Linked DNA regions of Kluyveromyces lactis. The protein of the gene in region 3 interacts with the protein of the main gene of each other region in a pairwise test. Links are inferred from orthologs where the notes say so. Each region holds a gene or a part of one and is shown on either strand. Other genes may lie near its edges. The genes, in order: SOG2, CBK1 and KIC1.

What was found.
Region 1: the proteins of KIC1 (region 3) and SOG2 interact in binary tests that used the Saccharomyces cerevisiae proteins (3 or more experiments, as listed by UniProt). The link is inferred for Kluyveromyces lactis from reciprocal best matches to the Saccharomyces cerevisiae genes KIC1 and SOG2.
Region 2: the proteins of KIC1 (region 3) and CBK1 interact in a two-hybrid assay, tested with the Saccharomyces cerevisiae proteins (2 studies listed by BioGRID). The link is inferred for Kluyveromyces lactis from reciprocal best matches to the Saccharomyces cerevisiae genes KIC1 and CBK1.

Annotation. Positions count from the first base shown.
Region 1 is NC_006039.1:1,118,128-1,122,287, reverse strand, and holds SOG2 (Sog2p), read right to left. Parts: upstream 2,878-4,160; coding exon 499-2,877; downstream 1-498. Other genes in the region: TFIIH complex subunit TFB6, read left to right, coding at 1-461; holocytochrome c synthase CYC3, read left to right, coding at 3,319-4,160. UniProt on the Saccharomyces cerevisiae protein: Required for proper cell morphogenesis and cell separation after mitosis. Functions in the RAM (regulation of ACE2 activity and cellular morphogenesis) signaling network and is required for proper ACE2 localization and CBK1 kinase activity.
Region 2 is NC_006040.1:668,572-672,811, forward strand, and holds CBK1 (serine/threonine protein kinase CBK1), read right to left. Parts: upstream 2,681-4,240; coding exon 524-2,680; downstream 1-523. Other genes in the region: RPL42A (60S ribosomal protein eL42), read right to left, coding at 3,201-3,517, 4,108-4,111. UniProt on the Saccharomyces cerevisiae protein: Protein kinase that seems to play a role in the regulation of cell morphogenesis and proliferation.
Region 3 is NC_006041.1:1,936,579-1,940,999, forward strand, and holds the start of KIC1 (putative serine/threonine protein kinase KIC1), read right to left. Parts: upstream 2,911-4,421; coding exon 1-2,910. Other genes in the region: ATP22 (Atp22p), read left to right, coding at 3,566-4,421. UniProt on the Saccharomyces cerevisiae protein: Protein kinase involved in morphogenesis and cell integrity.

The DNA.
Region 1 (4,160 bases), on a different chromosome or scaffold from region 3:
ACCAAAAATATCAAGGTTCTGAGTCAACCGATTTTGGTCAGTCATATTATCTAATCAGAATTTCAGACGATCTTCTAGATTATTTGGATAAATTTCCATTAACCGAGCAAGATGAATTTGATGATGATAACGAGACCAATGGTCGTTTTGATAATGGTTTTTCAAGTAATATAGGCCAATCCATGAAGCCTGAAACGTTTAATGCAGATTCACCCCGTACCCATGGATCTTTAAGAAAGCTATTTAAATTATTGTCTATATTAGACTTTATTTTTGCTAGATTAATTGACGGGAAAGTTCCGGGGAACTTTAGAATAAGTGGAACAGAAATTGTTAGATTAATTGGAATAGCTGAGAGGACCAGAATATTACTACCGAAATTAATGGAAAAGAATGACATTCATGGCTATCACTATGAAATTTCAAGGGTGTATCAAGAAACCTTAGAGAGAGGTACATAGCATACGTAAATACAGGATGAATACAAATGCATTATTATCACAGTTGATCAAATGGATTCACATTGTGAGAAGTCACCAGCGAAGGCGTAGATAATGGTGTTATTATATTCGAAGCTGTATGATCCGTGGTATCTCCATGCTGACCTGCCGGTGATCCTTGATTCGTTGTGTGATTTTGCTGTTGTGATGGCGCATCAACAGAACTTGCACCAACATATGAAGGGTTTGAGGATGACTGCTGATTGGTAATGGAAGCACTTTTGTAAGAGCTTAGATCGAGTATAACAGTAACATCCTTTGTAATTTTAGCTAAAGAGGCTAGATTAGGCCTCACGTCATTCAAAGTCGGCAGATCACTCATGATTTCCTTTGTGTTGGCTAGAATAGCTATGATTGACTTCAAAAATGCATTTATATCTTCCCAAGTTTTGAGCTTTTCTTTAGTAACCAAATATGTGTCAATATCACTATTGGAAATCACATTTAGTCGTTTTTTTAACACTTTCGATAACTCCATGGATTGGAAGCAAGTATCTGTCAATTCTTTTGTTTTTGCAGCAACCGTAGGAGTTATTGAAAGCTGATCGGAGGTAGTACTAGCTATTGCTGACTTTGTTATTGCCTGCGTCAATTGTGAATATACAACGTTAACCATATCAATAACTGTATTCAACGTATGGTATAGCTGCAGGTCTATATCCTTATCTGCAAGTGCTTGTGAGGGGATATTGGAGGTATCGGTGGGTGCGGCACCTTGTGTGACTGTGGAGGCAGTTGATTGCTCACTGTAATTTAGACTGCGAGGTGGTTTCGGTGAAGAATCTAGTATAGGCGGTGTTGTTGAAACTTCAGATATCGGTGTAGTCGTGAAAGATGTTGGATTAATTGGCGGGGTAACCTGTTGGCCATTTTGATTCGCATAAGGACCATTTATACCTGGTGTGTTGACATTAATTGCAGACTGTTGGGAAGAGACGCCACTCAGAGAAGAAGATCGATTAATAGCAGAAGACGATTTTTGCCTGCTGTTTAAATACTTTTGGTACTGAGCCATGTTCATAGAATGAACTGAATGCGTTCTGGCTAGCTTTTTCTTTTTCATCATTTCCTGGTTATCCAAAACAAGTAGTTTCCAGGCGTTGAATATTTCAGTATACGAACATAATATGTTCATGTAGAACACCCTTAAAAAAAACACGTCGTTATTGCCAAAAAATGCAGTGAAGTTCTTTCGAAGTTGAACAAAAATCTTTTTGAATATAGAAAGTATGGTCAAACATAGTCGTATCAAAACATCATGATGAAGGAACTGACTTTGCGTTATTGAAGGATCATTTTGTTGACTATTATTTTCAAATTGTTCCAAGACTTCAACTAAATTATCAATATGAGACTTGAGACTGTAAAGCTGTGACACAACATTAACCGAAATGGTCTTTTCAGAACATAGCGATGTTATCTTCCTAATGTTTTGCTGACACTCAGTGAAAGTGAACAAAAGTTTCCTGCAAGCTAGCACAACATTTTCCATAGATTTTCTTTTCTTTTCATGATGTGTCTGTAGTAATTCTTTATAATTCTGTTCATCTGTTTCCTCTTCTACCTCTTGCAAATTGGGTTCCTCTGGCAGAACAGATAATCTTTTGAAGTATTCGTTGAATTTTGAATGAGAGTAAAGATCAAGATCGCTCTGGGGAGACGTGAGATTATTCTCATTGTCTTCCGAATCATGTGAATTTCCAATAAAGCCCATTCGTTTCGCAGCCCTTGCTATCTTTTGTTGTGGATCCAGAGTTGTAACTGCCGGTGTTTGTGAAACGGTATTGTCACTGAAGAATTTTCTTAAGGCTATAACCCAGTATTCTTCCGCAGAGCACTTGGAACTAGTAAAACCTTGTAGAACCTTCTCGATAACATCATTTGGAAAATTATTCCCATCTAGTTCAAGGACTCGTAGATTCTTTAACTGGGATATTATAGGAAATAGTGTCTTGATGGATGTTAGATTGTTGTTCCTCAATGAGAGTGTAACAAGGTTATCACACCATGTCTCTGGAAATTCTTGAGGTAGCTGCCATATGTTGTTGTTAGAAAGATTTATTTTTTCTAATCGAAGGCATTGCATTAACGATGGAGGAATATCATTGAATCTGTTATCAGAAAGATCGATGGTTCGAAGATTTGTCAACTTTTTAAAGGATCCGGGAAGCTGTGTTAAGTTATTCTGGTGCAAAGAAAGGTTCTCAACTAGTTGAAGCAGCTCAACAGCATCATCTGTTATTGAAGACAAACCAAGATCAGCTAATGAAACTGCTGTGTTATCCTTCTGATAAATCTCTTTATTAACAGGGTGCATCGGGGGATTTCCATTTTGACCTTGCCTGAGTGATGTCAGTAATTCCGTATGGTTATCCATGGCACAGTACGTTAATACCAGCTGATCTAAGTCGAGAGTACAAAACTTTGGTTAGAACTCTCCAGTAGATCTTTTGAAACCAAGTCGAAACAGCGTTGGGCTTTCCTATTTATTACTAGATTTACTATGAAGCTTATTTTTGATGATCATTTTCTAAGGAAACATATTGATTCGATTACGGGTATTACAGAGAAAAAAAAGGAAATATTGCATGAGGTACACGATTGATATGACTGTATTGGTACGGGGCATCCGAAGTACATAAGTTATAACCTACCTCTGCAACCGAAGGGCGCTCGCCAACAGGTGACGAACTTCTGCAGTCCTCTCTCAATGGTTTCAAGGCCCACGGCCACGCGATATTCTACCAGCTTCACGAGATCCGGGTAATGTCCTGATTTTTTTTCCTTCTTTTTCCTCCAGCTTTGATAAGGAAAAGAAATGTCGGGTATTATTAACCATAAGATTCTCAATCAAGCAAGGCTCATCACACGGAGTCTGAAAGCGAAAACGTCAACGAAGATGGGTTGGTTCTGGGCTGACAAGCTAAGCACAGCGTCAACTAATGCTACTCCAATTTCTGGAGATATTTCTGCGTGCCCTGTGATGCACGATAAACCTAAGGGAAGCGATGTTTCCGCATGCCCTGTTCTTCATGATAAGAAGACCACAGATAAACCCACCGGTACGGAAGGTGGTTGTCCAGTCTTGTCTGATCAAGGTAATCATGGCTTAAATCCTTTGAACAACATTCCTATCGCCTTGACTGATGTCAAACAGTCTGGTCAAAAACTCGATCTACCAACGGAGCGTACCGTTAGTTCCATACCAAAGGGTAAGACTGCCGATGATGAATTTTGGGAATATCCTTCTCCGCAGCAGATGTACAATGCAATGGTGAGAAAGGGTAAGATTGACCCATTTACTGGGGAGGAAATTCCTGAAGATGCTGTCGAGTCTATGGTATTTGTTCACAACTTTTTGAATGAGGGATGTTGGCAAGAAATACTGGACTGGGAAAAAAAGTATACCGATAAAACACACACTTATCCAAAGCTACTACAATTTATGGGTAAACCAGACCAGCTTTCACCTAGGGCAAGATGTTTCAACATTTTTGGTACTCTTTTCCCCGGTTACTTTTCAAGTGAATTGCCGTTCGATAGACATGACTGGATTGTCCTGAGACCTGATCCCACATCCTCTGACACTGAAAACCCTGGATATCGTAAGGTTCGTTATATTATTGATTTCTATGGAGGTCCTGATGACGAAGAAGGTCT
Region 2 (4,240 bases), on a different chromosome or scaffold from region 3:
TGCCCTCATTAGGGTTTGAATCTATATTGGACGGAAAACACTTTGATAAACTCCGTTACCCGGAGTAAGGAGATCATTCACACTAACATGAAATTTTTTTTGCCAGTATATAAAATCAGATACATATTTCTTCGTTTCCACTTATAGGCCTTTCAATGATTAAATACATTAGAACTATTTTAGTTTAACCTTAGTTACTATTTGTTTCCTAAAAGATCAACATCAATATTATCGCTCCACGGTTATCCCTGTGTAAGATTTCGTTCTGCGCGGGGACCGGGTTATGTGTTGTTCACTATTTCCTGGTTTTAATAATTTGTGTTGAAGCGTAGATTTAATACCAAGTACGTTGCTGGGCGCCTGATATTGAGTCAATTTGATTATGATCTATTGGGAATCAGCTGTATCTACATTTTCTCCACTTTAATGACCGTAATGTTTATAATTCTTGGTAGTATTTCTTACTTTCGTTTATTTTATTATATTTAGGAACTTCCGTCGCGGTTATGTACAGAGAGCGTTACTATAGAGCATTCTTTCTAGTTAGATAATCAAACCTAGAGTACGTGTACCCGATGAATGGTAAATCTTCCTTTGCATTGGATTGAGGAACCCCTTGTTGCTGTGTCATCATCTGTTCTCTTTGTCTTGCAGCTTGTGCCATTGCTGGTGAATCAGGGACATTTTCTAATTCATCAGTTGGGAAGAACCTAGTATCTGTGACACTGGACAACTTAGGAATATAAGGAGCTTCCACTTGCCTGATAGTGTTCCAATCAACACCACTGAAGAAAGGATGTGCCTTAATTTCATCGGCACCACCATGTCTACCTAGACGATTTTCAGAGTGAGTTAACAATCTTCTGATTAGATCTTCAGCTTCATAAGAAATATGAATATCATCGGGGAATTGCAAAGTTTGTTCGAAATTCATGATCTTACGATACGTTTCTTGTGGTGTTTCAGAGCAAAATGGAGGCCAACCAATTAGACACTCGTACATAATAGCTCCTAATGACCACCAATCACATTCCTGACCATAACCTTGGTACAGGAAAATTTCAGGTGCAATATAATCCGGAGTACCAACAGTAGAGTATGCCATTAGTCTACGCGACTTTCTCCAAGTTTGCATTTGTTGTCTATTTGTCATGGTTAAATGAATGGCGTCAACCAACATTGTATTTCTATTACCATTGTTTGTTTCGTTTGGGAGCTGAGGTTTTTGTAGATTTAATTGCTGTTGTTGCTGTTGTTGTTGCTGTTGTTTCTTTGCCTCGTCCTCTTGTAATAACTTTTTGTAGTAACTTGAATCGTGAGTCTTATGGAACCCCGTACTCAAACCAAAATCTGATAGTTTAATGTGGCCTCTAATATCTATCAAGATATTATCTGGTTTAATATCTCTGTGAATAAAGCCCAATTTATGAATGACCTCGATAGCAAGTATACATTCTGCCATGTAGAATCTTGTCACATCTTCTGTGAAAATTTGCCATCTGATTAACATGGTCATCAAGTCACCACCCGGCAAAAACTCCATAATTAAATACAAATATTGTGAATCTTGAAAGGAATAATACAATGAAACAACCCACGGAGAATCACTTCCCGCTAGAACATCCCTTTCAGCCTTTACGTGAGCTAACTGATCTTTGTTGTACATTTCCGATTTCAGCAATGTTTTCATAGCATATATCTTGCCTGTGTCTTTCTTTTGTACCAATCTAACTTCACCAAAGGCACCTTTACCGATGACTTTCACTGAATTGAAGTCGTCCAACGATAATCTCGTTCTACGTAGTCTCAAAAATTGTGACTCCTTTTTACCTAAAGAAGCAAGCTGTCTATTCTTACGTTCCTCGGACCAGTCCTGGGATGCCAATTCGGATTCCAGTTCCAATCTTCTTTGATTTCTTTCAATAGCATAACCAACACTACTCTGATAAAAGTTCTCTATCTTGAGCTTAACAGCAGCTGCTTTGTCTTGGGTAGTTTTGGTCAATAGGTCAGGTCTTCTCTCAAAATACATGTAATTATTCGCCGATCCATTCTGTTGTTGAGCTTGCTGCTGAGACTGTTGCTGAGTTTGTCGTTGTCCTTGCTGCTGGGCCTGTTGAGTTTGTTGTTGCTGCTGCTGCTGCTGCTGCTGCTGCTGTGCATGATACGTATTGTGTTGAGGTGACTGAGGTTGGGAAGAGCTTTGTTGCTGAGTAAATGTTGGCGGTGTTTGCTGTGTCTGTTGATGTACCGATCTCACAGGACTCTGTTGACCATTCTGCTGTTGCTGCAGTGGTGGCGGGATGTACAAACCGGACTCACTGGCAACAGAATATTGACCGGGAGATGTATGCTGAGCGGATTGATATACCTTCGAATTAGAGTTGTTGTTATGTGAATAAATGCTTTGAGTTGGTGGTGGAGTCGCTGGATAATTCAAGTTGGGCACATCAGTAAACCCTCCATTCGGATAATATTGATTATTATGCGACTGAGGTTGCGATTGCTGTTGGGTCAGACGGTCTTGTAAAGACGGCTGTGATCCTTGTTGTTTCATATAATTGGTGCTGAACATGGGCTGAGAAGGTTCCGAAAAGGGCATGTTTCCCTGTTGCTGAAAATCGTTTGGACGACCAGAAGGCTGTTGATAGTAGTTCTGATTCGAATATCCACCGTACATTACGTGTTGTTGCTGAAGTAGCGACGTCCAAACGGCCTTGTTGACGTGAAATATGTCTCTAAACGTTAACAGTATAGTTTCATGTTCGTTGTTTTCTAAAACAAGTTTGATTCGATGTTTTTGTTTTTCCAATGAAATTGGCGATTATGGCAAATATTGAAAACATATTTTAGACAATGGAATGAAAAAAGTGGTATACATGGTGAGTATGTACATGTTATATTAGCTAAGGTCATATGTAAGCTTTACTGCCTGCAGGATCAATAATGTAGCCTGAGTCCTACGCTATTCTTTGTAAACAATTCTTGTTAATAAACTCTTATGCGTTCTGCTGAAAATTATACTTAGAATACGTATAATACAAATCGCAAAGTGAAGAAGTACCCAGTGGAGACTAAACTATACAAATGACAGATATGAGATTATAAATGTGATGAAAGAGTATATGTGAATTCGTAATACTTATAGAAAAGTTAAAAAATTGACAAATGGTAACAAATTGGTCTTCCAAAAGATAATCTCAGAATTGCAAAGCTTGACCCTTTTGCTTCTTTTCACCACCCAATTCGAAGTGCTTACATCTCTTCAAAGCCAATTGGGTCTTGGTCTTACAGGACATACATTCCAATCTCAAAACGACCTTCTTGGTAGTCTTAGCTTTCTTGTGGAAAATTTGCTTGGTTTGACCACCGAAACCAGATTGTTTACGGTCATATCTTCTCTTACCTTGAGCGTACAAGGAAGCCTTACCAGCCTTGTATTGGGTAACCTTGTGTTGGGCGTGCTTACGGCACTCCTTACCCTTACAGTAAGTCTTTCTGGTCTTTGGAACGTTAACTGTTAGAAATTAACATATCATAAGATAGTGATACATGTCGATGTTAGTAAAAAAATATTCTTTAGCTTCATCCAGCTTATTTTGATTGCAGGAATTCTATTCTCTTCTTCTTATTGTATAGGGAGGTCCAGGCTATCTGAACCCCAGTTGTTTAATACGACTGAGTTCCTGTTAATTATGTTCAGTCAGTGTAGCGTTGACTTCACTGATATACAATTCTCTGAGGTTGTCTCGACTACACCGAATTAAGAAACATAGGGACAACAAATAACCCAAATTACTTCCTCCAGCGTGAACAGGGTTTTATGCTAGTGAATCGTCCATACTTCGACCAAAATACTGATCTTTTGATATAGTTCACCAACTCAAATGAACTCTCCCCCCTTGTCGATGCAATATCTGAATTTCCAATACGGTTGGTGTTTTCTCATTGATTCACTCTGAAATGCTGTATTCTGTTAAATAACCATAGCTCATTTCATGTTCACTTGGTACTAAACTTCAAACGTTCCATTCTTCCCTCAGGATACCAAAAATCGAATAAACCACTGACAATCTCCACGGTATATTTTAAATCTTGTTCACATACCCATTGTGACTGATTTGATCTCTGTTGAGTTACGCTTTCTGAATGTACTGAAACAAATAGGTGCTATAACAATCAACTATACGATATATCTACTATGATGAACTTTCCTTGTGTAATATTTTAATGTTGAAAA
Region 3 (4,421 bases):
ATCTATGAACATGTCCATGGATAATGACTTCGGAGGTGGATCCATGATGAATCCTAAAGAAGAAGGCGTCGTTGATGAAAGTGCACTCATTGTAGAAATATTCCCTCCGGCGCTGCCACCAACGACGGTGCTGCTACCAGCAGTGCTTGCAGTGTTACTGGTTCCTGGTGGAATACTCAGGGGGGTCATCGATACGGATGGTAGGGGTCCCGCCGATGTGGAAGCTGAAGGAATTGATATTGCACCATTGCTGGTACCGGGATTGGTTGAGCTCACTGTCGTAGCGAGCATACTTGCAGTAGTTGTGGTTGTTGTAGCGGCGGTGCCAGAAGCACCATTGTTTGTTGGCCCATTTGTCGCCGAAGCGCTATTGTTCCCATTGCTGGCTAGAATAGCATTGGCGGGGTTGTATACATGGTCATTGGTAATGCTACTATTTCTACTCGATGTGCTGGCACTTGTGCTTCTCTTTCTTGGTTTTGTGAAATCTCCGAACCGTTTTTCGCCCACTGGTGTCATTGCCACAGATATTTGGGCATTGCTTGTGTTGATACCAAACTGATTTACAGTTTGGGCAGTGACGGCGCCTGGAGCTGTGGATGCTGAATTTGGTTGATGTTGGTGTGATGCATCGTCAAGCTGCGTCGTTGAATCAAGTAGTTTGTTGGAGCCTACCAGCGTAGTAGGAGATGGCATTTGCAACTTCAAGTGGGGATGTTGCTTTTTGAAATCTCTATTGATCCTACTTGGTTCACCTTCGGTTTCTTTCTTCTCTGCTGGGGTATTCATTGATTGTAATAAAACATCATTAGGTGTATGCATTTGCTTCATAACAGGCGGAGTGTTGCTATAAACAGCACTCTGATGCAATACAGAATCTAACAATTTCTTTTCCGGTGAAACGTCAGCCAACGCACGAGTGGGAGACGGCGATCTCGCCTGAGTCAAATTCGATCCGAATAAATTCTTAGCTCCCACATTTGGAGCATTGTTCGATGAAGTAGAAGGGACGTTGATTCCATTTGTGTCATCGTTTCCTGGAGTCTTAGAATTGGTATTTATTCCATTCATTATGTCCGACCTAAGAGACGTTAGCTGAGAAGATGGTTGTCCGCTCACAGTGGGACGTCTTTGTAATACTGGTGTAGCTTTTTGAGACATCGAAGAGACAGTGGAGGACCTTGGCTTCGTATTCATCGTCAAAACCGATTCCTTACTTACAGGTAATTCTTCTGGAATTTCAATTTCTATCGGTGTTGGTAACACTGATGAACTTCCTGGGCCAGCAAGGTTGGATTTAAAGTTGGTTTGGAGTATGGATAATGCAGGAGTACTTTGGCTGTGCAAATTTCTCATATCAGGTCTGGAATCGTTGTCATGATCAACATGAGGAGTCCCATTTGGTTGAATATTGAATGAGGACACTGTCTTACTCAGCTTGGGAAAATCATACACTTCTTCAGGCTTATCCTCAAACAATTGTAATAATTGTTTCGAAGCCTTTGTTTCGCTCCGTTTAGAAGTGCCATGGGTGGTAGTTCCAGTGTGACGACTTAAATGATTTGCTGTACCTGTTGTAGTGTGTTGATAATGCTTATTAAAATGCGTATTATGTTGATTTGTAGGCGCCGTAGCATTAAGGTTGGCGCTATTATTGTTATTAGCTTGTATCGTTGACAGATGAGCCGTATTGGGATTGTTGTTAAAGGTCCTGCCAATGGTGGATCCTTGGTAATATGGGAAATATGGTTTGTTGGAATTGTAGTATTCTTCCTCTGGATATGCATAATTTACTTCTTGAGGAGAATACTTGATCCAGTCCGCTTCTTCTGGTATAGCCTCCACGTTGATATCATTCTCTAAAATGTATTCTCTAGAGCTCAATGAATCAAAATCCCATTTTATATCTATATCTTCGGGCTCCTTTTCTGTAAATGAACCAGCATCCTGTGATGCATTTCCCTCTATCGATGAATTGGGATTCTGTTTAGAACTTGTATGAGATTCTTCCTCATGTTTATACTGTTCATTCTTTTCTCTGAAAAGCAAATACCGTGTTATAAGCTCTTTTAAAATCACCGTGCTGGTGCCCTTCTCTTGTTTTATCAACTTACTCTTGAAAAGTTCTTCTGCATATGGCCTCTCCTTAGGATCTTCGTCAAGACATAATGCAATAAACTCCTTTAAAGGCTGAGAATATTCCCTTCCCTCAAGTCTTGGCGGTTTGGATTTCGTAATCATTTGCATTGCCCTGATAGCCTCCATATGACAGTAAGGAGGATTTCCAGTGGCAATTTCATACGCGGTAATACCTAAAGACCATATATCAACTTTGGTATCATAGTAAACACCTTCCATAATGACCTCTGGCGCCATCCAATAAGGAGTACCAGCCATTGTTTGTCTCTTTAACATTGACTGCGAGAGCTGTGCGGCAACACCAAAGTCACAAAGTTTTACGCTTCCGTTGTTTGCAATCAAGATATTTGCAGCCTTGATGTCTCGATGAATGACGTTGTCCCTATGAATTGAAATCAAAGCTACAAGAATCTCTCTCATGATAACTCCGATATACTTTTCTTCGATGATCCCCGGTCGTAGCAACGTCCGTAGTGAACCACCAGCACAATATTCCATTATAACCCATAACTTAGTATCAATTAAATATGAGCCATAGTAATGGGTGATGTTCGGGGTCTGCTTCAAAGACGATAAAAACTGGATCTCTTTACGGATATCTTCCACTTCATCTTCGGTATTATCGAGATTTAAAACCTTAATAGCATACACTTGTTGCGTCTTCACGTGGAACGCCTTATACACAACTCCAAACTTCCCCCTGCCGATGATTTCCTTCCTCTTGAAAAGAGATGTGACATTATTCGTGCCGCTTGTAGAACTACTAGACATCGTACCTCCACCACGATGAGTTTAAATCCACAAAATACAAATAGAAAAGCTGCTAGAATATTTCTTTGTTTGTATATTAGAAACAACTGGGCTTTTGGGAGGGCAAATAGAGCTTTAATCCCTGTTCTTCTTAGTCCAGCTTCCGCTTCCCTCACATGCAGGTTCCTAATCCCATCTCTCAAAGTTCATTCTTTTATAAACAAGAAAAGGTGGGTTAACGATCTTCAAAATAGTTACCCGGAGTTCGTTATTCACGTGAACAATTTTTCCCGTTCAAATAGCTCGAAATCGGGCATTGTCAAGGCAAGGAGCACTTCCGAAGGATAGCTGTGCAATCTGCGTTTATGGTCAGGAGTTTTAAAATATGATATGTCTCCACAAATGATGAATCTAGTTGTTTATGGTGTGCTAGAAGTGTTTATTCTCCTGTTTCTTGTTGTTCGATGGGCTTTTAACATCTCTTTTGTTTGGAAATTTTGATATTTCTCTAAAATGAAGATGCGATGCAATGCGCTGCGATGCCTACAAAGAATCACAATGATGAAATTAATCTTGTTTTATTAATTTATCGAGTACTTTAGCTAGCCTTTCTCCGCCATCCCGATCAGCTGAGCGAAGTTTGCTCGTTTTGTTGTTCTAGCGTATAGGATAAAGAATGTTTGCACTTTCTAAAAGTTTGAGGCAGATCAAAAGGCAGACCATCCAGTATAGATTTATATCTGGTATTTCCAAGGATGAGGTGTATTGTATTATAGATACTATAAAATCCAGTCATGAATGGCATAAATTAAAACAAGATCAGAAGATGCAGGCGTATGTGGCGGAGGCGTTAACAAATCCCACTTCAGAGAACGTATCTGAATTGATGCAGCTGAAGAGAAAAATGATGAGGACTTTGAATGAAAACTATAATTTGGCCCTGGGATATATTGAGGAAGGCTTACCAGGACCTATAGAAAGGCTAAAGTTTCGTTCGGAGTTTTTGAGGGTCGTAGACTCCGAACACTATGCATATTTTTCAAAGAGCCTTGATCATATACGGTATTGCAAAGGTCTTGATAGAGCAACTAGAAGAAAAGAATTTTACAACTGCATTGAGTTACACAGGAGATGTAATCCAGAAGTAACAGAAGGTTCTGGTATATTGCTACCAGATGATATTCACCAATGGTTTTTCGTATTTGTTCCTCCTGATGAGAGAATGAAGCACTATCTTTTCCTCATCGAAAACAATGTATTAATATCAGGTCATTATGCAGGACTGACACAAGAAAGAATGTTGAAAGGTTCGGAGATGGAATATAGAGTGGCTAGCTTCCTTCACTTTATTGAGGATCCTGAAAAACGTCACATTTTCGATGAAAAATTTAGTGTCATGCACCCTTTCCGACCAATGAGACGAATCGTCAACCTGCTCATAACGAAAAAAGACATGGTACACATCAAGGAATATTTGGATGTTTTAACTACTAGACTGGAAAATGTGGAATTGAGAAACGAACGCATTCCTT